Lonchura striata: one gene and its partners. The protein of the gene in region 1 binds, or shares a complex with, the protein of each later gene. Links are inferred from orthologs where the notes say so. Each region holds a gene or a part of one and is shown in the gene's direction. Other genes may lie near its edges. The genes, in order: CNOT11, CNOT8 and CNOT9.

What was found.
Region 2: CNOT11 (region 1) and CNOT8 share a complex: the UniProt entries of both Homo sapiens proteins name them as parts of the CCR4-NOT complex. The link is inferred for Lonchura striata from reciprocal best matches to the Homo sapiens genes CNOT11 and CNOT8.
Region 3: CNOT11 (region 1) and CNOT9 share a complex: the UniProt entries of both Homo sapiens proteins name them as parts of the CCR4-NOT complex. The link is inferred for Lonchura striata from reciprocal best matches to the Homo sapiens genes CNOT11 and CNOT9.

What each region holds. Positions count from the first base shown.
Region 1 is NC_134604.1:87,468,432-87,478,612, forward strand, and holds the start of CNOT11 (CCR4-NOT transcription complex subunit 11), read left to right. Parts: upstream 1-5,831; coding exon 5,832-6,237; intron 6,238-7,445; coding exon 7,446-7,610; intron 7,611-10,181. UniProt on the Homo sapiens protein: Component of the CCR4-NOT complex which is one of the major cellular mRNA deadenylases and is linked to various cellular processes including bulk mRNA degradation, miRNA-mediated repression, translational repression during translational initiation and general transcription regulation.
Region 2 is NC_134617.1:5,119,304-5,129,787, reverse strand, and holds the start of CNOT8 (CCR4-NOT transcription complex subunit 8), read left to right. Parts: upstream 1-6,014; 5' UTR 6,015-6,101; intron 6,102-7,376; 5' UTR 7,377-7,459; coding exon 7,460-7,576; intron 7,577-8,819; coding exon 8,820-9,013; intron 9,014-10,445; coding exon 10,446-10,484. UniProt on the Homo sapiens protein: Has 3'-5' poly(A) exoribonuclease activity for synthetic poly(A) RNA substrate. Its function seems to be partially redundant with that of CNOT7.
Region 3 is NC_134610.1:15,625,801-15,636,486, forward strand, and holds the start of CNOT9 (CCR4-NOT transcription complex subunit 9), read left to right. Parts: upstream 1-5,718; 5' UTR 5,719-5,794; coding exon 5,795-5,818; intron 5,819-10,271; coding exon 10,272-10,451; intron 10,452-10,686. Other genes in the region: USP37 (ubiquitin carboxyl-terminal hydrolase 37), read right to left, coding at 328-428, 1,502-1,673, 4,447-4,602. UniProt on the Homo sapiens protein: Component of the CCR4-NOT complex which is one of the major cellular mRNA deadenylases and is linked to various cellular processes including bulk mRNA degradation, miRNA-mediated repression, translational repression during translational initiation and general transcription regulation.

The sequences.
Region 1 (10,181 bases):
GGCATGAGAAAATGAAATTATTAGTAGTATTATTACTTTTTAAAAAACACTGAAAATTACATTTTTCCAATGTGGATGATTGCTAAAAAGATTGCAGGAGAGGGGAAAAGAGAGTCAGGAAACAGACAATGTGACTTTTTTTAGTAGAGACATATTGCATTGCATTTGTCTTGTCTTTAAATCACATTAAATATACACACTGTTAAAAGGCTATTGAAATGTTCAAATGTCGGTGTTTCAAATGAAAATCAATAGCATGCTATTATGCTTATTATATTGCTGTTATGCATCATTAAAACACATTTAAAAGCTTTCAGCATAAACCAGGAGATGGGATGAATAACAAGACACTTTGAGAATGTGCAACATACTTAAAAGGAAATAAAAGGCAAAAGAGAAACTTTGTAGGCACTGGGATAGAAAGCCCTTGAAGGAGCTCACTGGGTGTTAGAAACATACCTGAACATGAAAAAATGAATGACATGGAATTCAGGATACAGGCAAATGTGTGAAGCTGTGCCACTGAAAGTATATTATCATATGAAAGTATGCATATGAGACTAAGAGAGATTCCTTACTAAATTTTAAAATTTTCTTTCTAAAGGGAAAGACTGGGAAGAAGTGACTCTCCCAATGGCTGGGAATTTAAGCAGGCAAGAGGTGCAACAGATTTCTATTCCCTTCACACATGTATTTGTATGCTTTTACACCTGATTGCTATAGTGCACATTTGCCTTTTTTCTGAAGAAGGACTACAACACAGACCACCCACAATCCTGAATGTCACACTCCATTAAATCCATCAGATCCTGCTTTTTCTCCCTTCCTCTTGTGGTGAATCTTTAATGCCTGTAAAGAAAGAAAAATAACTTCAGCCAAAGGAGATAAACACTCCCCTCTACTCCTAATAGCCATAGCCTGGGCTGGAGTTTAAACCCCTGTAGGGAGATGAAGAAAACCCGAATCTCCCACTTCCTGGACAAGAGCTTTCTAATCAGTTCAGAATTATTGAATATTCTTTCAGAAGGTGGATTTCAAATTTGTACCTTAAACATAAATCACTTCCTCCTGCAATTTTATCTGCAAAAATAAAGATTCTACTTAAATTGATTTTGGATGAAAACAGAACCATAAGGCATAAATCAAGTCATGGAGTCAGGGAACGGAAATAGTTCCATTTGTATCAGATATGTAATTGCATAGCTCAAATTAAAAATGCTGAGTGCTCAAATTAAAGTTCACAGTGAAGACTTCCCAAGCAATGCACAGACTGAATGTTTCTACACAGAACATATGCTTAGATATTTTTAAATTACAAATGGATTTTTAAAAAATCCTATCTAAAAAAAGAGCAATAAAAAAAGGAAAAATGAGAATATTATTTTGCTTCAAACAGTTTTTGAAGGAAAAAGAGTTTCTAAGTGATCAGGAAAGGGCTTCCTTGTCAGAAGAAGAGTCTATCCAAAGACACATATGCAAATAGCAATACTTTATGCTGCTTTTACGTGCCAATATGTCCCTGTTGGAGTTTCACCATAAATCTAATTGGGCCAAAGCTCTGTCTCTTCTGGGAGCATCCAACACTCAAATAATCAAGAGAGTGGACTAACATTAATTTACAGGTGTGATCACATGTGGCTTAAAATGCAGAGACCTCACTAAAACTTGCAGCAATGACCATGTTTATTTCTAAGCCACTCAGTATTCAGCACTTATGAAGCCATTAATGCAATGATATTTTTGGTGTTTCTTAAGTGCTTTTCAAGCTGTATCCAAGATACCTTGGCAGCTTAAGAGAGTTAACAAGTGAAGATGTATTCTCATACAGTTACTCAGGAAGACTTTTAGGTATTGTTAGCATGCCAATATTGTTGATTACTCCAGGAATAACAAAATCTGTTTCCGTATTGGTGGTCCTGTCTCATATTTTGAAATGAAAAGATGAACTAGGAAGAAAACATTTAACTGTTGCTAGAAAGATACACATAAAGAGATGTACACAGAATGCATATTCTCCTTCCTTTCTCTGATATGCTGCTATTTAAAATACACTGTAGACAGGATGGGTCACTTTAACTACTATGGAAAGGAATTTGTTTACAAGAGAGAATTCTCATGAGAATAAACAGAACAATCTGGAAGAGTTTTAATTCACCCGTTGACTTTAAGGTGTGACTTAATTCTTTCCTACTGTGTCCCTCCTAAATGAACTGTGGGGATAAAAGATAGGCTGTTGGAAGTTGTTTCCTGAGTATTTAGCCTCTTTGCTAGAAGAAGCTAAAATACTGGCTGGATAGTTTTTTAATACTTTTATTGCTCCTTCCAAATGTTGTCTTTTTCTATCTATCCCTCATTAGGATTTTTTTATAGTACCTGCAATGTAGCCTGTGTTTCTTATGTGTCATCTAAAATACAATAGTAAACAATAAAAAATACAATAGTAAATAATATCATAAATTTTAAGAAGGAAAGAAGGAAAGAGGACTCCTACAGTTAAATTGCATAGCCTTGCCCTTAGCTCCGGAAATCAAATCTGATTGTTCTCCTTTGGTTGTGAATCTAATTTTCCAGCAACAATTACAAGTCATCAAAAGCTGATGTTCTTTTAAATACTACATCAATTGCATTCTAACAGCCCAATTATTTTGTAAAGCTTTATTTGTATTTGCAAAGAGTAACCTGCCAAACTAGATTGCCTTTATCACTTCTAGTCTGGGATCTCTGTGTCTGGGCTAATATGTATTAGCATGTTTGAGCCAACAGAACAGGGTTACACAAGGGGCATGAGAATCAGAAACTTAAGTACAGCCCCAATCTCTTTATTCCTCTCTAGCACCTCAAAGCATGTTTTTTACTGAGGTTCTTCCTTAAAGTCAAACATAAAAAATGACAGGTGTATTTTATGCTTATATTGACCATTTAATAGCTATTCCACAGGCCATCTAAAAGAAATGGAGTATGCTCAGCCTGCACCCAGAGGCATTGTTCTGCAAAGGGAGAAAACTGAAGTCTTCCTTTTATGCCATGAGACTGTGTTGCACTGAGACATCTCCTGCAGAACTCATCCCCCTGGCCCACCAAGGGAACTGGGGTCCCAACCTTGCTCCCTGAGTATAATGCAATCCATTTCAGATCTGGCCAAGAATTTCTTTTATCTGAGTCTGCACTAGTACAACACACTCTCGCTTCTTCGTTACACAAGTTTTGAGCCCAAGGATGTCCAATACACCCATGTGTACGCAAAATACAGTGCCCTGTGCAGTCACAGAAACACTATTTTACTTACTACACTTCCTGTCCCAAGACCATTTTACACTCATGGGTGTTTTTTTTTTTTTGGTTTTTGGGGTTTTTTTTGTTGCTTTTTTTTTTTTTTTTGGATTAAGGTTTTTCCTACCCTGAAATGGTAATCTGTTTTAAAATCTTTGTGACTTCAAAATTCCCTTTGTCAACTGATGCTCGTGCCTATCCCACTTCCTAATAAGAATTCCATCTTCTAAATTGTTAGCTTTCCTGTTCTGACAAAACCTTTTAATTTGTATTGAATGCTTCCATATGGCTGCATTAGTGAGCACATTTGAGTAATACAATTTTTTTGCTATCTCAGTCATCAAGGAAAGTTTTTATTTCTCTAAAGTCCATTTCTGCAGTTCTGCATCCATTATTCCAGTAAGCACAACATCAAAGAGCGAAGTATGATTCTGAAATCTACAGGAAAAGAAGAAGCAGCTTTCTCTTTCTAAACATATTTATTCTTTTAGCTCTGCTGTCTTCAGCAGAGTTTGTTATTAGGAGCAGGCTGTACAAAAAAGATCACCCGGACAAAAGCATCAAGGTTTGTTTGGGTGCTAATCCACCCAGCAAGCCATCCCTCAATATAAGGCACAATTTTAGATGTGATCATTTCTATCCATAAACTTCAGGCCGAAAATGAACAAATGCAACTTTTGTCAGCACACTAGAAACAGAAAACCTGCTGGTTGGTCTGAGGCCTCTGCTTTCCCAAGTTTTCCATCTAGCTCTACCACACACATACATAGTTTACTTCCTCAGCTATCTGCAATGCTTTCATCTTCTTCCTAAATCTTACAATTAAAGTAATTGTTGCAGTTGTTAGTAAACTCTAAATTGGCCTAAACTTCCAAATAATGCTTTGTTTCCTTGAATACCCTTGGCCAGGTCAGGGAGTTCACTGGCATCCTCTTCCATCTGCTTTACTCTTCTAGCAGCATATGTTGCAAGCAGACTTCTCGCTGTGATCCAGTCCGCTGGTAACTGCTCTGTCAGCAAGGCTTTCATATCTTGCCTTGCCTGGCTGTAGACCTTGTTTTCCTCACAGACCCATCCTTTTTAACCAACTCTATATGTACATTAATCCTTTACACCTCTGGGATCTGGGTTTCTTTCACACCAGAAATGTGAAATAGAGAACACCTGCATTACTTGATCTACACAAGCCTTCAGTTTATATTACTTTAGAAACTGAATCCCATCTTTTACACATGTATTGCTGTCTGGAAAACCAAGATCCTTAGGGCTGGGTGAGTTGGGAGGAATACTACTACTAGAAGAATCAATGCCTGTTCTCAGGACTTCCTAAGGTCTTCTCCTCTCAGCACATTCCACAGAAAGCCCTTCCTCCAGGCCATGACCTCAGCACTTCTGGTTAAGCCAGTGACTTGCTGTCCCACAAGATGTACTTCCACAAGATAAGCCAATGAAACATCATCACACTTCAGAGGGATGTGCTTCAATCCCTGACTCCCAGGCACACATTACTGCAGCCCACCACCCTCCAGCTCTGCTGAGAGCCCCACCAGCAAAGTGGATAGTCTCAACTGCACTGGACCATGGAAGATAAGGATGAACATAAGCCCTGCAGAATCAGTTAGATTGAAAGGATTTCTGAGATCATTGAATCAACCTGTGACTGCACACCACCTTATCAACTACACTGGGGCACTAAGGGCCATATCCAGTCTTTCTTTAAATACTTCCAAGGATAGTGACTCTGCCACCTCCCTGGGCAGCCCATTCCAATGTATAAATCACCCTTATTGTGAAGAAATCCCTAATGTCCAACCTAAACCTCCCCTGGTGTCTCTTGATGCTCTGTTCTCTCATCCTGTCGCCGGTTACCTGAGAGAAGAGCCTGGCCCCCACCGGGATACAACCTCCTTTGAGGATGTTGTAGAGAGTGTTAAGATCCCCGCTGAGCCTCCTTTTCTCCCGGTTCAACAACCCCAGCAGCCTCAGCTGCTCCTCATGCAACTTGTGCTCCGGACCCTTCAATGGCCCAATCCGCGGTGTAAGTGCTGCGGCCATGAGGTGTTCCTCGGCCACGAGAGCACCCCCGGCCCCGCAGCCGGGCAGGGCGCGGGGGCTCCTCCGCGGCCGGGAGCGGCCCCGGCCCGGGAGGCGCGGGCTCCAGGCGCAGGGCTCCCAGCACGGGCTCCCGGCGTAGGCTCCGAGAGCAGGCTCCCAGCACGGGCTCCCAGCACGGGCTCCCAGCACGGGCTCCCAGCACGGGCTCCCGGCGCAGCCCCGCCGCCGCGGCCCCGCCGCCATGGCGCGGCCCCGCCGCGACGCACGGGGACAGCGCAGGCAGCGTCGCGCGCCGCCGGGCGCCCCCTGCCGGCCCCTGCCGGGAGCGCGCGCAGCCGCCGCCCGGGCCAATGGCCGCCCCCGCCGGGCGGCCCGGACCAATCCCGGCCCTCCCGGCCGCGCGCGCCGCCCCGCAGCCCGGCACGCCGCCGGCGCCTTTCGCGGCAGCGCCGTAAAGCGCGGCCGGCGGGGAGCGCCGGGCCCGGAGCGGCGGCGGTCGCGGTCGGATGCCCGGGGGCGGGGGCAGCCCGGCGCCCGGCACGCAGGCGGCGGCGGAGGCGGGCGAGGCGGCGGCGGGCGGCAGGATGAGCCTGTCGCCGAAGGAGCTGTCGAGCCTGCTGAGCATCGTGTCGGAGGAGGCGGGCGGCAGCACCTTCGAGGGGCTCTCCAGCGCCTTCCACCACTACTTCGGGAAGGCCGAGCACTTCCGGCTGGGCTCCGTGCTCGTCCTGCTGCTGCAGCAGCCCGACCTGCTGCCCAGCCCCGCGCAGCGCCTCACCGCGCTCTACCTGCTCTGGGAGATGTACCGCACCGAGCCCCTCGCCGCCAACCCCTTCGCCGCCGTCTTCGCCCACCTCCTCAACCCCGCGCCCGAGCGCGGCGGCGACGAGGCGGAGCGCACCCCGCTCTCAGGTGTGTCCCGGCCGGCGGGGAGCGGGGCGGCCCGGCGCTGTAACCCTCCTGGGGAGAGCGAGTCCTGCCGGCGGGGGCTTGGTGCCGGCCAGGCCCTTGCTTGGACCTCGTAGCTCTCTACAGCTGCCTGAGGGGGCTGGGGCTGTTTAGCTTGGAGAGGAGGAGGCTCGGCCACTTTCCGCTCTCCACAACCGCCTGAAAGGAGGGAGGCTGTAGCCAGGTGGCGGTCGGCCTCTTCTCCCAAGCAACCAGCGACAGGACAAGAGGACATAGTGTAAAGCTGAGCCACGGGAGGTTTGCGTTGGATTAAGGAGTCCTTCACAGAAAGGGTGATTAGACATTGGAATGGTCTGTCCAGGGAGGTGGTGCAGTCACCATCCTTAGAGGTGTTTAAGGAAAAACTGGACGTGGCACTCAGTGCCCTGGTGTAATTGACATGGCAGTGTTCAGTCATAGGTCAGGCTCGATGATCTCGGGGGTCTTTTCCAACCTAATTGATTCTGTGATAACGTGGAATTTTTTGGGGAGAAAGCAGTCACAAAAAGCTGGAGGTGATAGGAGGCTTCTGACGGCCTTAAAGCTGTGAAACAAAACTGTTAGAGAGAAATACATGAGAGTGAAACACTTTTTTCCTCTTCAGTAAATATGACACTACCAGTGTTGAGTAAAGCAGTTTCTAAAAAAAATAACCTGTTGGAGAGACTACAGAGAGAACCACCAAGTTGGTTAGAGGGCTGGAGCACTGGAACAGGCTACCCAGAGAAGCTGTGGAAGCCCCATCCCTGTAATGTTCAAGGCCAGGTTAGATGGAGCTTGGAGCAACCTGGCCTAGGGATGGCTGTCCCTGCTCATGGCAGAGGATGGGAACTAGATAGTCCTTAATGTCTTTTCCGACCCAGGCCATTCTCTGATTCTGTGAATTTCAATGTCAGGTCATACTTAATAGCTCACTTTTTGTCTGGATTGGAAATTGTGTGAATGAACCCGAGTGAGCATCAGGTGTGGCTGTCATCATGCAGAATACTGATCACGTAGTGCTGTATTTTGCATTAAAACAGTTCTGTGTGTGTCACACACTCTCCAGCTGCACCTACCTTGTCATAAATAACAGATCAGTTTGTCTTAGTTTTGCTTGTTATACAGGAAGAGCACAGAAACTGTTAATGCTCCTGCATTAAAAGCCATGGATTTTCACTGTGTCTCCACAGGCTTCTTACCTCCCATAACTCCTCCAGAGAAATTCTTTCTTTCACAACTGATGTTGGCCCCTCCTAGAGAGCTGTTCAAGAAGACTCCTCGGCAGATTGCTGCAATGGATGTGGGGAACATGGCCCAGTCGGTGGACATCAGTGGGCTGCAGCTGGCATTAGCAGGTAAGGAAGGTTTGTGGCTGTGGTGCTCTTGGGGATGGAAGGTCTCATTGGAATGTGACTGTGGGCCACCTGAGAAACACCTTTTTGTCCTGAATATGGACAAGTTTGAACTATGCTTCAGGGTCTTCAAGCCTGTGTTCAAGCACTTAGAGAAACTTCAGGCAGACATTACATCCTAACTGTTTTATCCTCCTTAACAAGTAAATTTTAAAGCATATATGTAATTGCCTTAAATACAAGAATATTTTGCAAGTATAGGAAGATTTCAATCTAAAGCTATGAGGAGTGTTTTTTTTTTTTGGGGGGGGGGATGAGTTTTTCAGGGTGGGACGTTTTTAGTGGTTTTTTTTTTTGCTTTGTTTTAGTTGTTTGTGTGGGGTTTTTTTGTATTTTCATCCCTTTTCACCCTCTGCAGTATTTCTATTATGACAGAACAAGCATAACTGTCATGCTATTACATACCAGTACTTCAGCTGTACCTGGAAAATTGACTATTACAATTATATCTTCGGTTTACTGCAAAGTTAGGCCTTGCAGTGTTAGCTCAAGAGTTGGAATCCAGTTTTACTAGATTGAAAAGAAAAGCAATGTGATGCTTATCCTTTGACAGGAGAACAGGAGGGACATGACTGTTCATGTCACATTTGGAGTGAAGATGAAATATTATACATTGTTGGAAACAAGGAACCAGTTTAAACAGAAAAAAAAAATCCTTTTTCCCTTGGTATGTTGGAGTAGACCTGCTTGCTTGAAAACTAACCATTCCAGATCTGTGTCTGTACAATGTGATTTATTGCTCTGAGGTTGGGCACCATTTATATCCATTTATATTTTCTGTGTCCTGCAGTTTTATCTTGGTATTGTAATTTTATTTTTTTTTTTTCTGTGGCCTCTGACATTGACTGGTAAAGCTGTGGTATACTGTCCTTTATGTCTTGTGAGGTCCTCCTTAGCTGCTATTTACAGACTGGGATAATTTGAAAATGCAAATCGAACACCTTAACACGCCATTGTGAACAAACTTTTCTGGTCCTTCTTGTGTTCATCCTGTCTGTATTTTGTAGACTACGAATTAGCAAATTAAAATTTTGCTTGGGTAATTTGTCATTTTTTTAGTCCAAGGCATATGTGATGCCTTTAGAAACCTCAAGGTGCTTTTATTTGTTTTCCCCTTGATACTGTGTTTGCCTTCCAAATAGTTTGTTCTCATTAAAGATGAAATAATTGAATCACAGAATGGGTTGGGTTGGAAAAGACCATAAAAATCATCTACTTCCTCCTTCACCCACTGTGGGCATGAACACCTTCAGTAGTCCAGGTTGCTTGAAGCCCCATCCAGTCTGGACTTGGACATTTCCATGGATGGGAATCCACAGCTTCTCTGGGCAACCTCAAAACTGTGGTTTGGTGAATGTATGCTCTAGGCCACATACTGTACTTTAAAATAGAAGATAATGATGGCTGAAAGTAGAATAGAAAGTCATTAATGGTGCTTGTATAAAATTTATATAATTGTTTACATAAGCCAGTAAATGTGCACAGTTGCTTACAAGCAGTTGTAGAAGTTATGTAACAAAACCAGCTGCATCTGAAAAAGCTCTGTGCTGTCTTTCTCAGACTTATTGCTGTAGGGCCCCAGAATAACTATCTGCTTTCTAATCACTTTCTTAGAAGATAAATATTTTACTTGTTTTAAAATTATGATGCTTCTTCTGTTTGTTGTGTTTTGGAAAGTCTATGATTTTTTCACTAGTCTTCAGTATATTTCTCCTAATGCTTCAATAGGCAGAATGAAGCTGGTGCAGGATGATGACACTAAGATGCAATGTTTGAGGTGTTTTGTTTACACCCTTTCCCCAGGATGTACAGAATGTCACAGCTATAATATAACACTTGGTAGCTTTTTAGAAGTATGGTCCTTGAGATGAGTTCTGGGCTGTTCAGAGTAGGATGAGTTTGACTTACTTTAGCAAAATCAAATGAAATAATTTAGAAAACATTCAAATTTTTTATCAGTTTATCTTTCCCAATCCTTTTTTTGTAAAGAAAATGAAAACACTTATCCTCTGAATCTGAGCTCACTGTGACAGTTTATTTGCAACTCTAAGGTGGATTTTCTATTTTTGATTTTCTTTTTTGGTTTTAAGGTTTTACACCACAACCCCTCAAAAGAAAAATAGAATGCTGGGATCAAGCATCTTGGGCATGAGTATTAACACTTGTTTTGTTCTCTCTTCCCTGTGGTCTGCAGAGAGCTAATTCAAACTTTGGTTCTGCCCTACAATATGTTTTTGTTCACCTGGTGTGCTACCCTATCCAAAAAAGTAATTTTCTCCTAGCTGCAGGGATGGGTCTCCTGGCAAAGTGTTCCTCAGTGTTTGTCTGCTAACCCTTATTTGATGGGGGAGTAATTGACCTGATGAAAGTAAAGCTTTTGATACATTGTTGAGCTTTCCTTAAGAATCAAATAAAGTTTCTTTTTACCTGTAAAAATAAAATAATAATCTCCATAAAGGAACCTAAGGATTTGTTTTCAGTTTAGTTTTGTAAAATTTAAATGTCTTAGTCGAA
Region 2 (10,484 bases), on another chromosome or scaffold:
GCCAAATTTAAATAGATCTTAATTTTTAAAAGAGCTTCTAATCACATCTGTTACATAACATCACTATGTGTCCATCTTGTCACACAGGTCCTCTCAGGGCAGGTGTGCCCACTGCCTCCACGAAAACACTACTAAAGCTTGAAATATGTCAGGCTTGAATAATCCATTCCTTTGAGGCTTTGCTCCATTCCAGCTTTCTTAACAGGTTGTTCAGAGCTTTGAACAGTTGAGTGTCTGCACAGAGGGAGATTTCACAGCTTCTCTGGGAAATCAGTTCCAGTATTTGACAACCTTCACTGTCAGTTTTTTCCACTTGGAATTTTTTTGATTATAACTCCTATTATTTGCTCTTAGGCTGTGCACATCCCTATCTTTACAACCACCCAGCAGGGAGCTGAGAAGAGCAATATCCAATTATTCTGCTGGGACAGTAAAGTAAATAGTGCTGGCCATAGTTTTCTGTGGTTAAAGAGATTATTCTGCTCTGATGACTTTGTAGCAGACAACATTAGATGAGGAGAGGCAGATGTGAAAGGGGAACCTCACTGAGCTGGAAGGCTGATGCTCCAGAGGTTCCTCCATCCAGCAGAGCTGACTCAAACCTGCTGAACCTTTGCATGTGAAGAGCTCCAGAGCAGAGCACTGTAGAAAACGTGACTGCTTTAAGTTTTTAGAAGAAGGAGCTATTACTTGATTGAGTTACATATTCTTGCATTTAGTAAAGAGTCAGAATTACAATCACATTTCTAGTACCCTTTTTAAAATTATCAATTTATGACAGAAGGCTGGCTTGGGCAAAGATTTCCAGTTCAAAGCAGAGCTGCCACATCTGCTTACCCTCTGTTTCAGAAGATTGCCTTTATTAAGCCACTTTTCAGGATAAAATTTTACATTTACATTAAACCCAGAAAAAAATTGGAGTAGGTTTTCCCCAACATCTCATTACCTACTCTTTTTTTATTGTGTAATGTCTCTCCTCATTCAGAATGCACCAAATACATTAAAAAAACATTCATGTAACCATGGCTGTTTCAGCAAACAAAAAAGCCATTCAGCTGCTTGGCACTGCTCTCATGTTGGCATATTTTACAGCCCCAAATCAACCACTGAAGCTCTCAGCTGCCTGTAGCTATTTCCAAATATCAGCTATAACTACTACTGCTTTAAAAAAAGTTCCTTTCCCGTTATTTTGAATTAGTTAACACAAAATTTGATCCAAAGCAAATTCTCAACCCTGGAGTAAAAGTAATTGCCTTTCTAATCAGTCTTTTGACATTAAAGGGGAAACATACACTAGTCAATCAAGAATTGTAATACATTTTTTAATATTATTATTTCCATGTGTAACTTAATTTGCCCAAAAACTGTTCATTAAGTCATAGATCTTGTTTTCACTGAATTTTTCACTTTTGGTACTGTAAAAAAGCTAGCTTGTCTAAGTCATGTTTTAAAATGCTCAATATAATACATAGTATAATGCTCAATACAATCTGAGTAGAATCTGAAAAAAACCCTGCTGTATTTGTTACTTTTTTTTTGTTTACATGTAAATTATTATTTATGCCCCATGCCTGCAGTTCTGTTTTCCTTCTGGTGCCCAGAAAGCCTCAAGCTGAGGCAGCACAGGTGCCCCTTCCCTGTACTGCACCCACTGCACTGCGTCCTTCTGTGCACGGCAGACACAGCTCAGAACAGCTCCATCTGAGGTGATGGACTGGCTGCCCACCCCAGCTCCCTGGGATTCCCTGTGCCTTCCTCCTGAAGTCTCTGGTGTAGGTCTTACTTCACTGAAATCAACCTTTATATGGCACAGACAGTGGAAAATTGTTCCTGGGAGAACAAAGGCTGTGACTATCCACAGAAGTACAGAACATACAGAACAAAAAACACAGGACCACTTACCTGGTCACCTGAACAGCCGCATTTCTGTGTAGAGAGACACAGGACCAGAAGTGGTGTTTGATGTCCTACCAAGCACTGCACAGTTTTAGGGGAACCCCTGTTCCTAGAAAAGCTGACAATGGACTTCACACAGACATGACACTGCCTTTTAATGACTTCCTCAAAGTCTCTATCATATCTTTTCAAGCACCCTTGAACTCTGGCTGCCTGTTCTTTCTCACCACCTGCCTGATGGTAGCCTAGGAGAGGTCCTTTTTGTCTGTTCAGAGCAGAGTTCAGCTCCTCACTTTTCACATCTCCTGTCGAAACTTTATGAGGGTTTAGGCAAGGGCAATAGGGGTGTGTTTCCAAGCAGGAGCTGCCTGTCCCCTCCCAGACAAGTCATGTGAAGCCAGTGCCATGTCACTGTTAGTGCTGGCACTGTTCCCCATGTCTATGTGCATGCTGTTACTCAGTTAAGCACGTGGAATACACTGATTCTGCAGGTAAGTTTTTCATCGTTGTACCTGAGAACAAAAAATCCACCAACACCCCTAAAAGTAAGTAGTTTTTATAATTCACCAACTCATGGCTGGAGCACAAAATAGCTACTGCCAGTGCAACTGAATGGGTCAAAGGTATTTGTTAAAATCAGTAAGGGTTACTGTGGAATTTGGCAAAAACCCAGCAGTCCAGATTTAATCCTGTTGTACTAAATCTAAAAATTACTCCAACTCTGTTGCTACACAGTGCCCTCAACCAGTAACAGGCTTTGCTTGCATGGCTAAGATGAAGACACACATAGGTTAGCATGTACTTGGGCTCAGTTGTCTTTAAGCATGTTGTTTACAGACCATAAAGTGTGTAATTATGGTATTGCAGAGAGCAAGATGTAATTTACAGCGGCATCGATCTTTCTTATGCAAATGTGGCCCCAATCTGTTACTCAGCCCATAAATAGTGCCCTATTGCAAACTAAGCTCTGAGAACTGAGCGTGTTACTATCATAACTCTCCAGATCTATTTTTCACAGGAGGAAAAACAGGGAATACTACCTCTGCCTCCCAGTTATCCTTGTTTGCCCTTCTCAGGTGAAGCAACACATGCTTTTTCTCAGTAACACCTAGTTCCAGCAGAGCTGGAACTGCAGAGAGCTCTGCAAGAGTGAACAGTGTTTAACACTGTTACTGCTTCCATCATCACTTTTTCTTGCCTAGTTCCAACTATTCCCTGGTAGGGACAGAAACTGTAGTTCTTAGCTGTTGCTACTAATTGGTATTTATCACACAGAGCAGGCTCAACAGAGAGGAATGTGATTCCTTCAAACTATTTACTCACGAAGAGGAGGAAGTGGAAATGAGCATCTCAAGAGAGGGGTGCCATAAGGATAACGTCCTCACTGATCTTTGGATGTGAGCTTGCAGGGGGAGGGCTGTTCAACCAACAGCCAATAGTGAATTTCAGACCTCAGTGTTCCTTGTGAACCACTGCTCAATTCCAGCATGGGTGATCTCTGAAATATTCATACCCATAGGGACAACTCAGCACATTAGTCATAGGGTTGTAAGTGCCATTGAACTTCTGCTGCAATTGTGTGTCTAGCACAGGTTGTCACTGATCAAACTGCTGCTTCTGCCTGCTGGCTGCCCTGCGCTGGTGTCTCTGCCACAGACACTCCAATGCTGCTGCAATCTTTGCTGAGCCATGCAAGAAGTCTGATTCCTTCTCAGCAAAAAAAGCTTTTTGATCAGACACTTCCTAACACAACTTTGTTCACTCCCCAGAGTTTTTGTAATAAGCACTGGTTGTTTCACTGTTTGAGAGGAACATCAGGGGGAAATCTATGAAGTATCTTTCAGGGGACTGGACAAGCCCATACTGATAGTTCCTCAAAAGGCTGAAGAGGAATCTGAACTTGGCACACATCACCCACTGCCTAATTCCCTGCATTCTGAACCAGATCTCTCACCCTCTGCCAGGGCACGTGTGCCACCACCTAGCACTGCAGTGCTTTGGGAGCACTTGTGGAACAACAGAAGGCTGAGGAAAACATAAATTCACCTTTCAGGGTTCCCACAAGGAAGGTTTCTTGTGGTGCTGTGAGTAAGCTCTAAAGAAAAGGCACAACAGGACATGCAGCTCCAGCTGCCCAGTGTGAAAACATTGAGCTAAAGACCTTTATTCCACCTTATAATGCAGCTCTACACTCGTATGTAGATGTGAGGACTCTTCAAGACTTGCTTTGGAGTGCTGGAGCTGGAAGCAACCTTGGTAACCTCCAAATACAGAAATGATGGGACTTTTTAAAGAGCAGGGTGCCTCTTCCAGCTATTCTGAATCTTTATTAGCCATGTCATGTTTGAAAAAAATTCTGATTTCTTCGAGCAAACTGTGTCTCCAGTGCTTGCAAACATCTCTGAACAGCTTTGTTTTACAGACAAATTTTTACACACTACAAATGTAATTTATCACAGGTGATTATTGCCTGCAACATTTTTTATTACAGTACCAAGGCACAGATATTTACAGTGGCCTGAGGAGATGCATCCTCCCTTTTCCCCTCGATTCAACATCCCTTCAAGCACCAGGTTTACGAGCAAGAAAAATGTCTCTGAACTCTTCTGGGAAATAAAAATTTCATCTTATATTTACAGGGTGCTGTAATCCAGCCTGCTGAATTTACCTGCTAACAACACAGATTTCCTTGTACAAAACCCCAGACTCAAATGACCACAGGAAGAAAGGTGGTTACTTTCTGGCAGTGTAGCATATTGCATGTTGCATAAATTGCACAACACCAGAGACTGCAGAGATAAGGCAAAACAGTAACTTTCTATCATCCCTGAAGATAAAACTCTGAATCAAAATAATGCGCAATAAAGGGAATGTACCAAGATGCTGACAGCAGCAAGGTCACTCAACACAGCAACTCTTGAAAAACCCTCTTCTTTTCTAACGGCAACATTTCTGCTGAGGCATGAACATAAAACCTGAGACATTGAATGGTGTCTGATGTGTGAAAGATACCAATATCTGCTTTTCCAGATACTTTGATCAAAATGCTGGGCAAGTAGCCGAGATTCAGGGAAAGACTCCCATATGGTGGGCAGACAATCCAGTACCAGAACATATATATTTATAGAGGCACATATTTTAGAGATATTTTATAGATGCAGATTATAATCTATATATATATAGATATATAATCTATATATCTAGATATATAGGTTATATATATCTATATATTATCTAGATATACAGCTATATCTATAATCTAGGTATATAATTTATTGATTATATATTTTATTTATATTTTAATATATATTTTACAAAAGATGCAACCCCGTCCAGAAGGACGGCAGTCTAAAATAAAGGAAATACGATCTAAGTTTAATTAGTAGACGAGCTTCCAAATGAATTGCCTATGTACCATCAGCATCAGCCAGCAAAGCCGTGTTACACAACCAGTATCTGCTTTACCAGCTACAACCTTCTGTTGCTAACGTAATGTAAATTCCACTCCTGGAACAGAAGCCTATAAGTCTGCAGGTGTAGTAGTAGGGACTTAAATGACTTCTAAGCCCCTGCAGGAAGAAGCAGAACTTGCTCCATTAATAAGCTTAATACGCACTACACCGTAGGAGCAACGCGTGCCAGGCCAGCAGCTTCAGGAAATCCCCTTGGAACACAAACCCTCATCCCGCTCCCACCCTGCGCGCCCGCGGCCTGGGAGCCCGGGGGGGCTCGGGCCTCACCCCGACCGGGACCCCCTCACCTCCCCTTGCTCAGGGAGGGGCGGCCGCTGCTTCTTTCGGGGACGCTCAGCCGGGGCCCGGCGCAGCCCCTGTCCCAAGGGATCGGGGTGCCGGGGGCTCCCCATGCTGGAAGCCCACCGCAGCCCCGGCGGGCGTTATGGCGACGCCTCCCTCAGGGAGCGGAGACACCCAGCTCCTTCATCCCTCCCCCCTCCGCCCGCGGAGTTTGGACTCGCCCGCCATTCTCAGCGCGGGGAGCCCGGGCGAGCCCACTGCGGGAGCGGGGGGAGGGGGGGGAAGCACCAGCCGGTGTGGGCTGGGCAGATGTACCCGCCCCGTCGCGCGCTCCGCCACGTCTCGCGAGAGGCAAAGCGGCGCGAGCGGCGGAAGCGCCGCCCCTCGCGGCGGGGCACTCGGAGCCGGCGCGGGGCGGGAGCGGCGCGTCCCGGCCGCGGCTGCCGGGAGGTACCGGGGAGCGGGGCGGGCACCGGCACTGCCACCGGCACCGGCACTGCCACCGGCACTGCCACCGGCACCGCCACCGGCACCGCCACCGCGGCTGCGGGGCCGCGCCTGGCGCTGGGCTTCGGCGGGCGGCGGCCCTCCCGCTTGCCGGCCGCGCTGAGCCGCGTCCGGCCGCCCGCGGGCTGTGAGGGGCCCTGAGGCGACCCGGGCCGCGCCGCGGCGGTGCGCTCGTCCCTGCGCTGGCGCAGGCCGCTCGCAGACGCCTGGCGGCGGTTCGCCGGGGTTTTTATTACGGGAAAGCGGCACCAGCCGGTGGCTCGCCCGAGCTGGGGCGCTGCTGGCGCTGCCGGTGGTTCCAGCCGGAACAGCCCGCCGCAGTGTGCCCCGAGTCACAGCCCAGGGGGAAGAAGCCCAGAATGGGTTGGGAGGGACCGCAGTGGGTTACCTGGTTCAACCTCCCTGCTCAAGTGTGGTCATCCCAGAGTATGTGGTACAGGATTGTGTCCAGGCCATTCTGGAAAATCTCCATTGAGGCAGCCTCCAAAACCTCTCTGGGCAAGCTGTTCCCGTGCCCGGTCCCTGCACAGTTTTTGCTCATATTCTTCCTCATGTTCAGAGGAAACTTCTGTGCATGACTTGCTGCCCATTGACTCTTGTTCTGTCGCTTGGCATCACGAAGATGAGCCCGGCTCCATCTTCTTAGCACCCCCTTTAGATATTTCTACCCCTTGAAACTCCATCCAATGAGTATTCTCTCTAATGCATTCTGTTACTGTGTTTAAACAATTGTCTTCATCATAGAATCACAGTGGGGTTTGGATTGGAGAGGACCTTCAAGATCATCTCATTCCTCCCCCCAGCTGTGGGCAGGGACACCTTCCACTAGACCAGGGTGCTCAGAGCTCCATCCAGCCTGGCCCTGAACACTTCCAGGGATGGAGAAATATCCCTGGAGTGAGGGTTGAGAGTTACAGATGAGGATTCCCTGCCTGTACGTCTTGTGCCCTAAGTGTCAAAGCTTATGCCAGGAAAAGGAAGATAGGAGTAATGATTCTACTGGACTGTTGATTGTGCATCTACTTTTATATTGTGAACAAATGCTCTTGATTTCATTCAGCATGTTCACAGAAAGTGATAAAGCAGGAAAACTTGGTGTAAACTTTAAACAGGTTGTTTGAAGGTGAAAATGGTAGTGTGACTGACTCCTACAGCTCATTTATTCACATGTTATTCTTCCTTCACTTAAAGCATTATTTATTTATCTCTTTAATGCAGCACACTGATAAGATTGCACAGCTTGTGATCCTGCACTGTCATTTGAGTTCAGCATCAGCTGCCTTTTTTCTGGTCCCTGCAAGATGCCAGCAGCCCTTGCAGAAAACAGCCAGGTTATCTGTGAAGTATGGGCCAACAACCTGGAGGAAGAGATGAGGAAAATTCGGGAGATTGTTCTGAGTTACAGCTACATTGCCATGGTAAATGTTTTATACTTGACCTAATTGCCTTAGTCAAGGGATTTTTTGGGGTTGTGGACTAAGTTGATTCTTGAGTGAGAAATGTTTCTTCCTACCCCCTGAAAATTTGAACTAAAAGAGGTGAAAAAATAAAAAGCTGTTTGGTAGCTTTTCAGAATTTAATACAAGCGGTGATGAGTATGGGTTGATTGAAAGAAGGGGAAGAAGGAGACTAACTTAAAAACGTGAATTTATTTAATATTTAGCTATTCAGAGTGTATTCATTTGTGCAGCAGGAAAATTAAACAAGTAACAATTGGGTTTAAATCCTTATTTTTCCACCAGTGTGTTTGTCCTTTGAATGTTTTTCTTCATTTGATTATAGATGATGCTATGGGAGTGGTGGTCAAAAGGCTTGCAAGTCACTGCTAGCAGCTGGGCTGCCTCCTTTCAAATGAAGGCAGATGTTGATTCTTAGGGAAGAAAAATATTCTGGCTGTAGATAAGACAATATGTTCAGAAAGCTTTATTTAAGAAGAGCATAATCTCCCCTAGGTGGGAGGAATCTCCTCCTGCTCTTACAAGTCTGTATCTGCTTGGCAGCACCCCAGTGTGTTAGATAAAGAACTGGTTTTAGCTGTGGTACTGTAAGTTCTGCCAGCTTTGCTTAGGAGCACTGAACCTCAAAATCTGAAAAGTCCTCATTAAAATGTGGCAAAAGACAGGTGCCTTTGCAGAGTGTGGGGGATTTTGGTGTCAAATTCAGCTGTGGAAGTGAGTATGATTTTTTTGTTAACATTTGTCAATGGGAAATGAACTTTTTGCTTCTTTTCAGTCTCACTGGAGGTGTTCTTAGGGTTTGTTTGAGTGACTGTGCTGTATGAGTAGACAGATAAACTTCTTGGGCAAGGGAGAGATTATGTCAGGTGCACAGCACTGGCTTCATTGTGAAAGATTTTGTGTGTAGTCAGCAGAAGCTCAGTGACCCAGTCTGAGGGTAGGAACAGCGGCAGTTTGGTGTTCAGCACAGACTGCACACAGTCACTGGCTGGGTAAGAGGTTTTTCACCTAACAGATGGTTTTTATCTGATAGGTGGCTGCTGTTGTTGAGGTGTGTTTGACTGACAGCAGTTTTTGTTAATGTGGGCATTGACTGTTCCTCAGAAGCTGTGAAGGTTTTCACTGTCTGGGCTGCCCTCACAGAGTGGTAATAATGACTGCTGACAGAATCCATGGTGAAACTCAGTTTTCCCTTCTCTGCCAGGACACGGAGTTCCCTGGAGTCGTTGTCAGGCCAATCGGTGAATTCCGCAGCTCCATAGATTATCAGTACCAGCTCCTTCGCTGTAACGTTGACCTGCTGAAAATCATCCAGCTGGGCCTGACTTTCACAAATGAGAAGGGGGAATACCCTTCTGGCATTAACACCTGGCAGTTCAACTTCAAATTCAACCTCACGTGAGTCTTTGGGCTTGGCATTAATTTCCTGTTCTTTCTGCTGGAGTGATGCTTTCCTTTGGCAAATACCAGTGTCCATGTGCTCATCACTGCTGGCTGCTTCTGAGCAATAAGGATTCAGATTCTAGTACAGACTGTGTGGGAACCTAGTTTGGAGTGCCAGGAGTTAACAGTGTATCTGGAAGTCAAAGCCATGCTAAAATTCTATCCTCATTATCTTTTCTCTTAATAATTTTGTGTGCCTTTTTTTCCTGGAACAATGTTTGAAACTTCATTTATATATATATCTATGTAAAACTCCATCTCTTTCTGCTAAAAATAAATGGATGTGCTAGTCTCATCAAAAAGAAAAAGACGTCTTTACAGATCCATGCTTAAGTATAAGCTGGGATCTAAAAACATGTTGGTGTAATCATCACATCTGTTCAGGAGAATGAATCTTGTTAAATGGAGTGTGGCAGTTCTTGTCTCCTCCATACTGTAATATCCTGGGCTGCAGCTGAAACAAGTTTCATTATCCCTTCCCCTGTAATTATAGAGATAAACTCAGCATAATTACCACTGAAGCTGTCTGGAAATAAAGAAAGGGTTTATCTGGCAAAACCACATACGTAGAGGAAATCAATCTATTTTTATGAAACTGTTATTGGAAAGAATTACAAAAATTTGTAGCTATGTGCAGATCATCCAGTTCTTGACCCCAAAAGTTGCACTATTTACTCCGCAAATTGTGAGCTTCTTACAAGTATTGAAATCAGAGTGAAGTGGCTCTGTGATCACTTAATTTATGAGTTGTCATAAATGAATATGAGTTATCATATTGATAGAACTTGGCTCTATGTGTTTTCTCTCCCTCAAATGACACAAACCAGTAAAGAAGTCAGGTTCCTGCTCAGCTCTCCACCAAACACATGATTCTTGTCCTTCTTGAGTCAAGGATGATGCAATTCTGTTTACTCCCAGAGATGGAAGCGAAGTGCTGATAAGGTGGTACATGCTGTGGAGTGAAAAGGAAAAATGTAGACTGGAATGCTGGCCAATGCTTTAGAGCTGCACATCTTCCTGTTTGGGAGAACTCCCCTTTCCTCTGGGCCTCATCTGTGGTGCTTCCCTTTACCTTGCAGAAGGGACATTGTTCGAAACAGTCAGTTTCAGTCCTATGGAGGTGGAATCTTTAGAATTTGCACTAGCAATGGTAGTGTTAACGAGTTAACTAGTTAGACTGATCACAGAACTGCTTATTATGGATGTAGGAGTCTGCAGTAGTGGTATTGAAACTGAGCCAGTTTGAAATTTCTAGAGAGACAAACTGGAACCGGGAGTTATCCTACTGGTTACTCCAATTCTTGACATAGTGTGGGGAGAATTTTTCTAAAATGAGCTTGTCTTGGCAGCACCCTGAGTGCAAACTTGCTTGTTTTTTTTCCTTCAGGGAAGACATGTACTCTCAGGATTCCATAGACCTCCTTGC
Region 3 (10,686 bases), on another chromosome or scaffold:
GGTGTTTGGCATAAAACAAAGGGAAATTCAGAACTATATGAGAAGCAAGTCTCAGTCACGTACTTTCCATTTCTACTTCTATGCCTAAAAGCCCATATATGAAGAGCACAGTCTGACTTCCATAGCCAGACACTGACCTTCCTTACTCATACAGATGTCTCCTCACAAACAAGATACAGCATTGCCCACCACTCCATACTCATCTATTTCAAGCTCTCTACATTACAAACACTTTGGATGTAAAGTTTTTATAGTGTCATTACATCATAAAGAGAATGAGAGAACAGAAGAAAATTAGAGAAGAAAAATTTTAACAGTTTAACAAACCTGGTTCTCTATGTAAGAGAATTGCCTGTTAGCTTCCTTCTGTGTGGTCCTGCTGCCCAGCACACCTCCAAAACTGCCAGAACCTTGTGAGGGTTTCCCAGCTGACAGAAAAAATAGACAATATTCAAGCTGATTGTCATTTAATTGACTGGGATTTTTATTTGCAAAATGTTTAGCTGGAGTTGATTTTGGAAAGGGCATGCCAGAGTTCTTGCCAACAGACTACAATATTACGAATGCACAGACATAAGCACGTGTTTATGAATATCCCTCATACTGGTCATTTAGCCACTTGGCAGCAAACTTCCTATCCTTAAAAAAAAAAGCAAAGTAAAATAAAAAGAGACTGTGTATGGGCAATTAACAACCTTTCAAATACCAACACACAACGTAAAAAATTCCCTATGTTAATCTCTGATTATTGTTCAGCTGAGAAAGGTATAAAACAAAATATGGGGTTTGAGGCCAGAAAGAAGCATTTACAGAAGTGCAAAGAAAGCCAGGAACACAGGGACAAAATGTGCTGAAGATGTGTGCTGGCTTTGGCTGGAGGAGAGTTAATTTTCTTCACAGTAGCAATGATAAGGCTGTTTTGGATTTGTCCTGGAAATAGTGCTGATAAGAGAGATGTTATAGTTATTGCTGAGCTCTGCTCACAAAGAGTCAAGGCCTTTTCTGCTGCTCACATCACCCCTCAGGAAGCAGAGGCTGCACAGAAAGGCAGGAGGGGACACAGACAGGACAGCTGACCCCAAATGACCACAGGGATATCCCACACCGTGTGGCATCATGGTCAGTGCATAAAGCTGGGGAAGAAGTGAGGGAGGCACAGTGATGGTGTTTGTCTTCTCAAGTCACCATGACACAGGTAGAGTACTGCTTTCTTGGAGATGGCTGAACACTTGCTTGCCCACAGGGAGTGGTGAGTGAATTCCTCATTTGTTTGCTTGCGTGCACAGCTCTCGCTTCACTTACTAAACTGTCTTTGTGCCTGCCCACAAGTTTCCTCATTTTCACTTTCTCATTTTATTCCCTACCCCACTAGGAAGACTGAGTGAGCAGATGCTTGGGGCTTAGCTGTTGTTGGATATGGTTAAACCACGATAAGATGGGAAAAAGAGAACACAACACCTCTCCATAATGTTATAACATGACTTACAACAATTGCACTTACCAGTATGAACCTTGTCTTGATGGACTGCATCCAAATACATCCGCATTTCATTTGCATCTTTAAAAGGTACCTTATCAATTGTCAGAAAGCTGGTATCCTTTAGTGTTAGCATCAGGCAGCACAGTTTTCTGCCATTTGGTCGTAAGGTCACTGTTTTAATGTTATGGCTTAACTGAAAACAAGAAAGTGACTATAAGCATAAATCCACCCTTAAAAGCCCAAAATACTTACAAATTCAAACAAAAGATTTCAAATAGACAGGATAAGAGACTCCCACCAAAATACTTCTCCTTGCTCCACTTCAAGGAAACATTAAACCTCATAAAATTAATACAATCTGTGACCTTGGCATCTGACAGAACTGTAAGGACAGTGTCACTATTGCTTAACAGTCTCTAGAGATAAGCTTTCTGAAACTTGCTTTTCTACTCAGTGTAACATCTGTAAGTGTAAAGGAAAAACAACTTCACGAAGTCCCAATTGGTAAAAACCTCCACATCAAGAGCAAAATACAATTTAGGATGGGGAAAGTTTCAAGTATTAAACACAAATATTTCACTTCACAATTTGCTCCCAAAGAAGACAGATTTAAAAAAATCTGCTGAGGAGGTAAGTCAGTAAGAAACATGCTTACTCTGTATGCAACATCTTAACAATTAAGTGATGACAAAACCTTCAGGGTTATGGTTGAGCACAAAAATAATTTTAATAAGACTTTGTGCTTCCTAATGATGCCACTGCTATTTTGTAATATAATAACCTTACTTGTGTTTCATGCTAAGTCACCTACAAAAACTGGCTGTTGGGTAAAGTTCTACTACTCGTGCAAGTGGAGGGCAGCTCAAAAAGACTGAGATAGTAAAAGACACTTCATGCCCAAGAACAAGATTTTTTTTTTTTTCAATTTAGATCTCTAGCTTCTTGGAAAACCAATCTAGACACAACAGCAGCTTGTAAGAGGGGCTGAAAAACCACCTTGATCAGTAACTATGGGTTTGTTTTAATGTGAGCATTACACTTCTGAAACACATTGTGCTCAATCCTTGTATTTTGGGTTTGGCTTTTTTGTTGGGATTTTTTAAAAATATAAGCTAAAAATACCTTCAAAGACCTAAGAATTGAATAATAGGCTCCAAGTTTTCCATGCTGTTGAAACACTTGAGTCCAGTGCAAAGGGATTACAATTATTTCACCATCTCAGAGCAAAACAACCCATTTCAACTCAAAATGCTGTCAGAGGACTCCATCCATAGTTTCGGCAGGTGTGGGGAAACAAAGTAATTCTCTTAATACTACCTAGGACAACTTAGTTAAAGCTCTGAAACATCTCCAAGACATCATTTAACAGAATAAATTCGATGGCACACTAGTCACCGTAGAAAGAAACATAATATCGGCTCCATCCAAACCTTCCATTACAGAAAACTAAAAACAGGCAGGAAGCTCACTCACAGTCCTCTCAGAGCAGCTCGTCAAAAAAACAGGGAATGCTACTTCTACAGCAAGATCATCAGGAATTTGTCACACCTGAAGTGGCATGCCAACAGCCTGGGGATGTCTCACACAAACTACCCTTCAGCACAAGCCTCCTCCTCCTCCTTTGCTGCAGTCTCAGGTGCATGGTTGCTTATCACCCTGTCTGCTAGATCCTGCATTCAGTCCTTTCCCCAAATTTCTGTGAAAACCCTCCACTGAGCTCACAAAGAGATCTGACAAGTGACAGAGACAGCAGACATGAGAGGCTGGGAAGAAAACCTGCCCCTTTAGGCCATGGTTAGCTGTTCTGTAGGCTCATCCTCCCTGTGGAACCTCCCTGTGAGTTGCTGTCACACCACATCACTCATCAGGCAGAAAGGAGTGTGTGAGAACAGGCACCCAGGGAATGCACAAGGGGAAGACAAAACTGCTCTCCTCAGGAGCAACATGGTCCAACAGTGGATTAAACGAAACCTGCAGCCACAGCAGCACACCTGAGAAGGCAGAGACTCTTTGCAAGTCTGCAGTAACACAGGTGGGAGCAATCATAGCTAATGATTTCCTGACAGCCTTGATTTCCAGGCAACACCAGCTGCCAGACTCTTGGCTGAGACTTTTAAGGACACTAAGGCAGCAAAAAACTAACTTTTCAAAAAGAAATTAACTTTTTTTTTTCATAGCATCTGCACACACAGAAATAAATGGCTCAGAGAACAGCCTGGTGAACATTACTGACAAAAAACAAGAGTGGTGTGAAAAAGCAGAAGCCAACATATAGATCACTTTAGGCCATTGCAAAGTTGCTAAACAAACTGGGATCTTTTTTTCCTCCAACTGCTCTTATGTCAATTACATATTTTTAAAACAGGTATGTGTTTCTTATAGAAAAATCACTCTGCTTTTGATTTGGGGCATTTTGCACAAAATCTAGGAAGACTGACCTGAAAACAACTATAGAATGAGAAAAAATTTAGCTGAATATTTCAAGAGTATTTTTAACAGTGATCTACATCTGCATTAAAAACCTACAACAGCCATAACAAGTAATGTTCAGCAAAGTCTGAACATTAGGTGTATTAACATCATTACACCTCAGCTGGGGAAACAGCTAATATAAAATGGTCAGGATCTTCTCTAGAGAATGCAAATGTGCCAGTAAGAGAAAGGTCACAGGATCCAAAAATCTGAAATGTGAACCACGATGCTCTATACTTCTGTAACTTTTTTCTGCTTTTTTGGTCCTTCCCATTCAGTGGTATCTCAATGCCAACCTTGGTAGAGCCTTTAACAATACGTGTAAATAATTTACTGGAGAGTTATACAAAGGGATTAGTGTTCAGGAAACGAGGAACAAGAAACAGTGACAGAGGGAAGTCTGCAGGACACTTAATAGCCTTGAAGAGGACAGCTGTTCACAAGAGAGCACAATCCATGCACTGTTAAAACAAAAGCCTTAATGTCTGGCATACCTGAAACGTGGTTGGAATTCCTCCAACATTGTAGTGAACTACTAGATTCACTTTGTTGTCCTTCTCCACAATTTCAAAGCTCCCTTCTTTCCATTTCGTAATCCCAGTCTGCATGCTGCGCATCCGGACAGGTCCGTGCACCTTTAACAGAGCCATGCTTTCTCACAGAAAAGAGCTAACAACAGTAAGTGTGCTCCACCTTAAAAACCTGTTAAAAAGGAGAAATGTATAACTTTGTGGGCCAAATAATGGCTAAAGGAAGATGGAAGCATGGCTTGAACATTCCGTAGAAGTTTGGTAGAACCGTTTCACTGATTTTAAACGCAGTGAGGAAGAGCGGGACGGCACTGTAGAAAACTCAGATTAATAAAATCTCTCCCAGTATGAACAGCAGTGCACCGACTCCTTACTGCTGAAAGGTGAGCAGACAGAATTCCAGACACAAAAGTCCTTAAAATCCCTTAACTTCACCGGATTTAAGGTAAGGGAGGGAAAAAAAGCGCCTGAGGAAAGATAGCAAGAGATGGGAAACAGAGTTTTGGAGGAGGACTCCAGATTAAGAAAACGAGCTCGTTCCTGACGGCGCGGGACCCGCGGCCACCTGGCAGGGCCGGGACGGAGGTCTCCGGCTTCCCCCGCTGCTCCCCGCGCGGAAAGCCACGAGCCCGGGGCGACAGAGCCCCGGCTGCGTTCCGGAGAGCACGGCGAGGCGCGTTCCCGACAGATCCCGGCGGGAATGAATGGAGCGGCCCCTGCGCGCAGCCCGGGCGGCGCTGCCGGGGAGCCTCCCCCGGCCATCCCGCGCTCAGCCGCCGCCGCTCCCCGCCCGACCCGGCGGTGTCCCGGCTCCTCCCGGGCCTGGCCGCGCTCCGCTTCCGCCGCTCACACACACGGTGAGCGCGGCAGCGCCGCCCGCCCCGGGCCGGGCCGCTCGGAGGGCAGGCGGTGACCGCGCGGCGGGAGGGGCGGACGGCCGGCGGGAGCGGGTAGGAGTCGGCGGCGGCGCTGCGCGGTGGCGGCGCTGCCCGGTACCTGCGGTGCCCGGTACCTGCGTCCCGGCGCGTCCCGGCGCGTCCCGCGGGGCCCGGGGCGAGGCCCGGGGGGGGCGGGGGAAGGGGCGGCGGATGGCGGGAACCGGCCGCACAGCGCGAGACCGCGCGCAACGCGCGCCCGCTCACGTCAGCGCGGCAGCGCCTTCCCGGCGCGCCCCGCGCGCGCCCGCCCCGCGCGCAGGCGCCGGCCCCGCCCGGGCCCGTCCCGGCGTGCCCCGCGCGGCCGGGGAGGGGCGGCGGCGGCGCCGAGCCCATGGCGGCGGCAGCGTGAGGCGGCTCCGCTCCCACCGGCCACCATGCACAGCCTGGCCACGGCCGCGGTGAGCCGACCGCCCACGGGACCGTGTCGGGGATGGGGCCGCGTTGCGCGGACCGTGCGGGGAGCGGGAGCGCGGCTGCTTGCGGCGCGGGGGGAGCTTGAGGCCGTGCGGTGGCGGAGCCCCGGTGAGCTCCGCGCCCGCGGCGTCACTGGCGCGGTCCGTTCGGCAGCTGCCGAGCTCCGGCTGCTCCGTGCGGGGCTCGTCCGGGGCCCGGAGGTTTCGCTGCCGCTGGGTGAGCCGGCTGTGCCTCGTGTGCCTCACGTATGGCGTTCCCCCTTCCCCCTGCCTGCCGCGCTGCCTCCTGCAGCGAGTCAGGGCTTTGGGGTTCCTTAGAGAACCACTAGCAAAGGTGTCGGCAAAAGCACGTTTGATACAAAAGCAGAAGCGTGACAAATTTTGTTGGTAGGGTTTGCTCTACTTTTAAAGAAGCACATCGAAGAAAAGCAGACGAAAGTCTAAAACGGATTAATCTACAGCCAAAATAAATCCAAAAAATTATTATCCGCTGAGTGTGTGGAGGGGGAAGAGCAGGGAAGAAAATGGTAAGGACAGGAGAAGGTAGGACAAGAAGGGATAAGGAAGACCCTCCCGCTGAAGCAAAATATTCAGAGTACATTTTCTTTAAGTGGCCTTAAAACACTTATCTGCAACACCTCCTGCGTGCCCAGCCACCTCCTCTGCCTTCTGGGGAGCTGTTTTACTGCTGGCCTTGACTGCAGAGAGAAAGAGTAGACGGTGAAAAGCCCCTCATGGCAGCAGGTGCTGCCTGCTCCTGCTTCCCTTTGTCCCGTGGCAGTGCAGCACCGGCCACAGCTGGTGCTTGCCCTCTTCCTCCTCAGGAACCTGCCATGGCTGGATACGGTGCCTGATGCTCGGGCTGGCAGGACTGGAACAGTACCTTGGCCTGGGTGGGTTCAAAAATGGAAGCGGAGTTTGAAGGATGTGGTTATTGCTTTGTATCTCCCACGTGATTGGGTTTGTGTTTTGGTTTTTTCTTCTCCAAATGCTCGTTCATGGCATGTGAAAGACTTCCTAGAGCTGATTGAGTCTTGTGTGTACTGAGTGTGGGAGGTGTAATGCAAAGCCAGCAGATAGAGCTGTTTCACATGAACTTAGATCGAGGGTCTGGTTGGACTGCCAAGCTAATGAGTAAGTAAAGTTTTGATGAACAGGAGTTAAAGAACTTTTTACATTTCTCCTCTGTTTAAATGCTTATGACTTTAACTAGTTCTTGGAGTGCTGTCAAATACTTCTGATTTTAAGTACTGTTCTCCAGAACATGGAAGGGTGTGCCAGATCAGGTAAACTTTCTTAATCAGCGTTTACATTTTTATAGCACTGTAATTCTTTAGTGTTTGTTAAAATGCATGAAGGACTCCCATTAGGCATATCTCCCATTAATCCTGTGTCTAGTTACCTCTCCTTTTTAAAGACAATTTTAACAAAAAAAAAATTTCAGAATAGAGAGCAACTTTATTTTAGGACTCACTTGAATGTATATTTAATTTATGCATAGTTTATGCTAACTGGTAGTTCTGTATTGAAATGTTTCCTACCACAGTCAGTGAGCTTAGACTTTGGCTCAGCAGGACTTTTACCACTGTGCCTAGCAGCAGCTGCTCAATTAGGAGGAGAAAGCCTTTTGTGTAAATCAATTTGTTATGTCAGCATTAGAGATGTCTTTTCTCCAAGAAGGAGAAAAGATGTTACAAGATTTTTTTCTGATCTAATACTGTTTATAAGTTTTGTTTTCCCTGTGTGCAAAAGAAAGTCTACCTGGTGGGGTTCTGTCCTGGAGCTTGGAAGATCTGTGTGGCTTTCAGGGTTCCCCAGAATTTTGGGTCTTAGAGGGAGAAGAAGAAACAATAATGAAATAGGGAATTAGGGGGAAGAAAAAAAGTCCATATAAACTAAAACAAAAAGAGCAACTGTAGGGCCTATGAAAAGCAATTTGTTCTGGCTAAGGCATATATTGGACATCATAAACTTGTGTGGAAAATCTACTTAGTGTTCTCTAGGGATCACAAGCACATGATTGTGCTTTTAAGGGGTCGATGTATTTAAGCTTACAGGAACTGAAACTTCCAGTGAGTCTAGAAAAATAGATGGAAGCTTTAGATAACACAATTATAACAACATTATTGCTACAGTGCTTGTCAATCCACCATCCCACATAAAAACAAATGAGCTCTGTTCATTCTCCCTCTCTTTTTGAGCTTCAGTGTAGAAGTTAGCATTGCAATTGCAGTCACAATTGTAGGGGCACAAGAAACTTGGCAGGATCATTAATTTAGTTTGAGATTTTGGGGAAAAAAAATTAGAAATTGAGTAGGTGAGTGTCCTGGTTCTGGTTATGCCCAGAACAGAGTTATTTTTTGCATTAGATGGGAAGAAGCATAGCTAGGCTCCAGAGTTTATTCTGAACCACCTCACATCATTTTTCAGAGAGGGAGAAAGGACTTGATTTGAGCTTGGGGCTGCATGGCCCAGGAAGCAGTTGGTATTGTAGGGGGAATTCTGTGGGGTGAGCAGTAACTTTTCTTTTCTTGTACCCTCTGTCACTAATATTAGTTAGTTTTCTTATGTCATTGCTGTTCCCAGTAAATTGTTGCTATCTCAACCTGTGATATTTACCTTTTGTGCCCCCATTCCCCTTTCCATCTTGGAGCAGGGGGACTGGGACTGGAAAGAGAGAGGGAGTGAGTGGCAAGTGGTTTGGAATGGTTTCAGTGGGAATACTAAATTGGAGAATACCATTCTTAAGCCATGACAGTGAGAGAAAAGAGGACAGGAGGAAATATGAACAGCTAAAAAAGTATTTGAGCCCTAGAATAGAGGGACTGATAACACCACATTGGTTTACGTATGAACATTTACGTTAAATAATACAATGGAGGTGGATGGAGCAGAGAGAAATCTCACAGCTGGGGAAGAATGTCTTTGGATGTGACTGTGGAAATAAAACGGGGATAAACAGAGGAGGGAAACCTCTGCAGGCATAGAGGAAGAAAGCTGTTGGTGTCTGGCAAAGGTTGAGAACTCTCTCCATCCCTCCTGCATACCTTCTGGGACTGCCTCTGCCATGTGGCTTCAGGTTTCGCTGCAGCCACTTTCAGTTCCTGAGCTCCCCTGTATTCTGTGTGTCTCAGTGCTAAGCAGCTTGGTGACAGCGTTGCTGTCACTGTGGTATGCGCTCTGCATGCATCTGTTGTGGGGAGCACATGAAGAGTTTCAGTTGGGGTTACAAAATAAAGAAATACAGTCCTGTTCCCAGCTGGGATCACCGTGCACAGTGGGATGGAGAGCTGGTTGCATGCTGGCTGGGCTGTCTCAGGAGCAGCAAGTACCAACAGGACTGTGCTTAGCTTTAATAACAACCACTGCAACAGTGTTTGAAAAGGTTCTGACCTGGTTCTGGAAATGTTCACACAGGTTTTAGTGATGGTTTTTGTCTTCCTCAAAATTTTGTATCTGAGTTGCCAAATTATCTCCTTAGGAAATCTGCAGAGCATTTGTTTGCACCGAGTGCTGCTTGTGCCAGCAGAGGCAGGAGACAAAGTTTCAGTGAAGGGCTTGTGCCTTGCCTTCTCCACAGAAATTACGCTACAGTCCCTCTTCTCCATCATTTTTTTTGTGTTGAGAACTTGTTGATCTTGATACTGTTATTTCCCTGATGTTTCAAGAGAGGCAAAAGCAAAATTTTACTTTCCCTTGAGTAGTAGAAAATGTGTCTTGGCCAGGAATACTGATCTACCCTTCTCTGGGTTTATTTTGAACAGGAAACATATCATCCTGAGATCTTGCACAAATTAATTCTTGAAAAATTCCCTTTTAGCTCCATGCATGTGAACAATGAACCTGGTATCAATACAAGCCATTGGTAACAGCAGCTGTTACTGCCTGTGGCCAATGTCATACTGATGGTGAAGTAGTGAAATTTTTTCTAGTGTTTGTATGAATATTTTTCTCATGTGTATTGGATGAATCTCACTGGCAGTTTCCAATATCATGGGTGTTTGTGGCTAGGAAAAGGTAAGCTCTGCCTTATTCTGAATCTGTGGAATCTTGCACTTGAAGCATGAAATAAATTCATGCTAAATGCAGGTGGAACAAATCATAGCTGGCTGAAATGTATGTTGCTTCCCAGGAGCTCTGCTAGCACAGCTGGGCAGCAGCTTGGCTCTCAGTGCTGAATGAAGTTACAGTGGTACTGCTTGACAAGGGGATTAAGAGAGATTGTTTTAATCATTCAGGCCAGGAAATAAAGCCCTAGAATTTCAATAGGTGAAATACTAAGACTAATCTAAGGAAGGGGTGGAGCCATATCCAGGACGTCTTAATAGAGCTTTAGGTCCTGCCCTCCCAGGAATTTCTTTTTCTGTCAGATTGTGGGGACAGTTTGGGTGAGAACTGGATTGAAGTTTGGACTGAAGCTTTCCTGTCTCCCTCCCAGCCTGTGCCAACAGCCCTGGCTCAGGTTGACCGTGAGAAGATCTACCAATGGATCAACGAGCTGTCCAGCCCTGAGACCCGGGAGAATGCACTGCTGGAGCTGAGCAAGAAGCGCGAGTCCGTGCCCGACCTCGCCCCAATGCTGTGGCACTCGTTCGGCACGATCGCAGCACTCCTTCAGGTGGGTTGGGCTGTCTGAGTCTTTGTCTGTGTCTTTGTTCCGTGCTGCAGAGCTTGTGCATCCATGAGTGGATCTGAGGAGGAACTGGTGGGATCCCTTGTTGCCATTGCTTGGGAGTATGATCTTTGTTTTGGTGGGGGGAGCAGATTAAGGTTTGAATGCACTCCTGTGACTCCATGTAAAATTGACTCAAACCCAGCTCTGCCCTTGCCTGGGCAGCATGGTGGCTGCCATC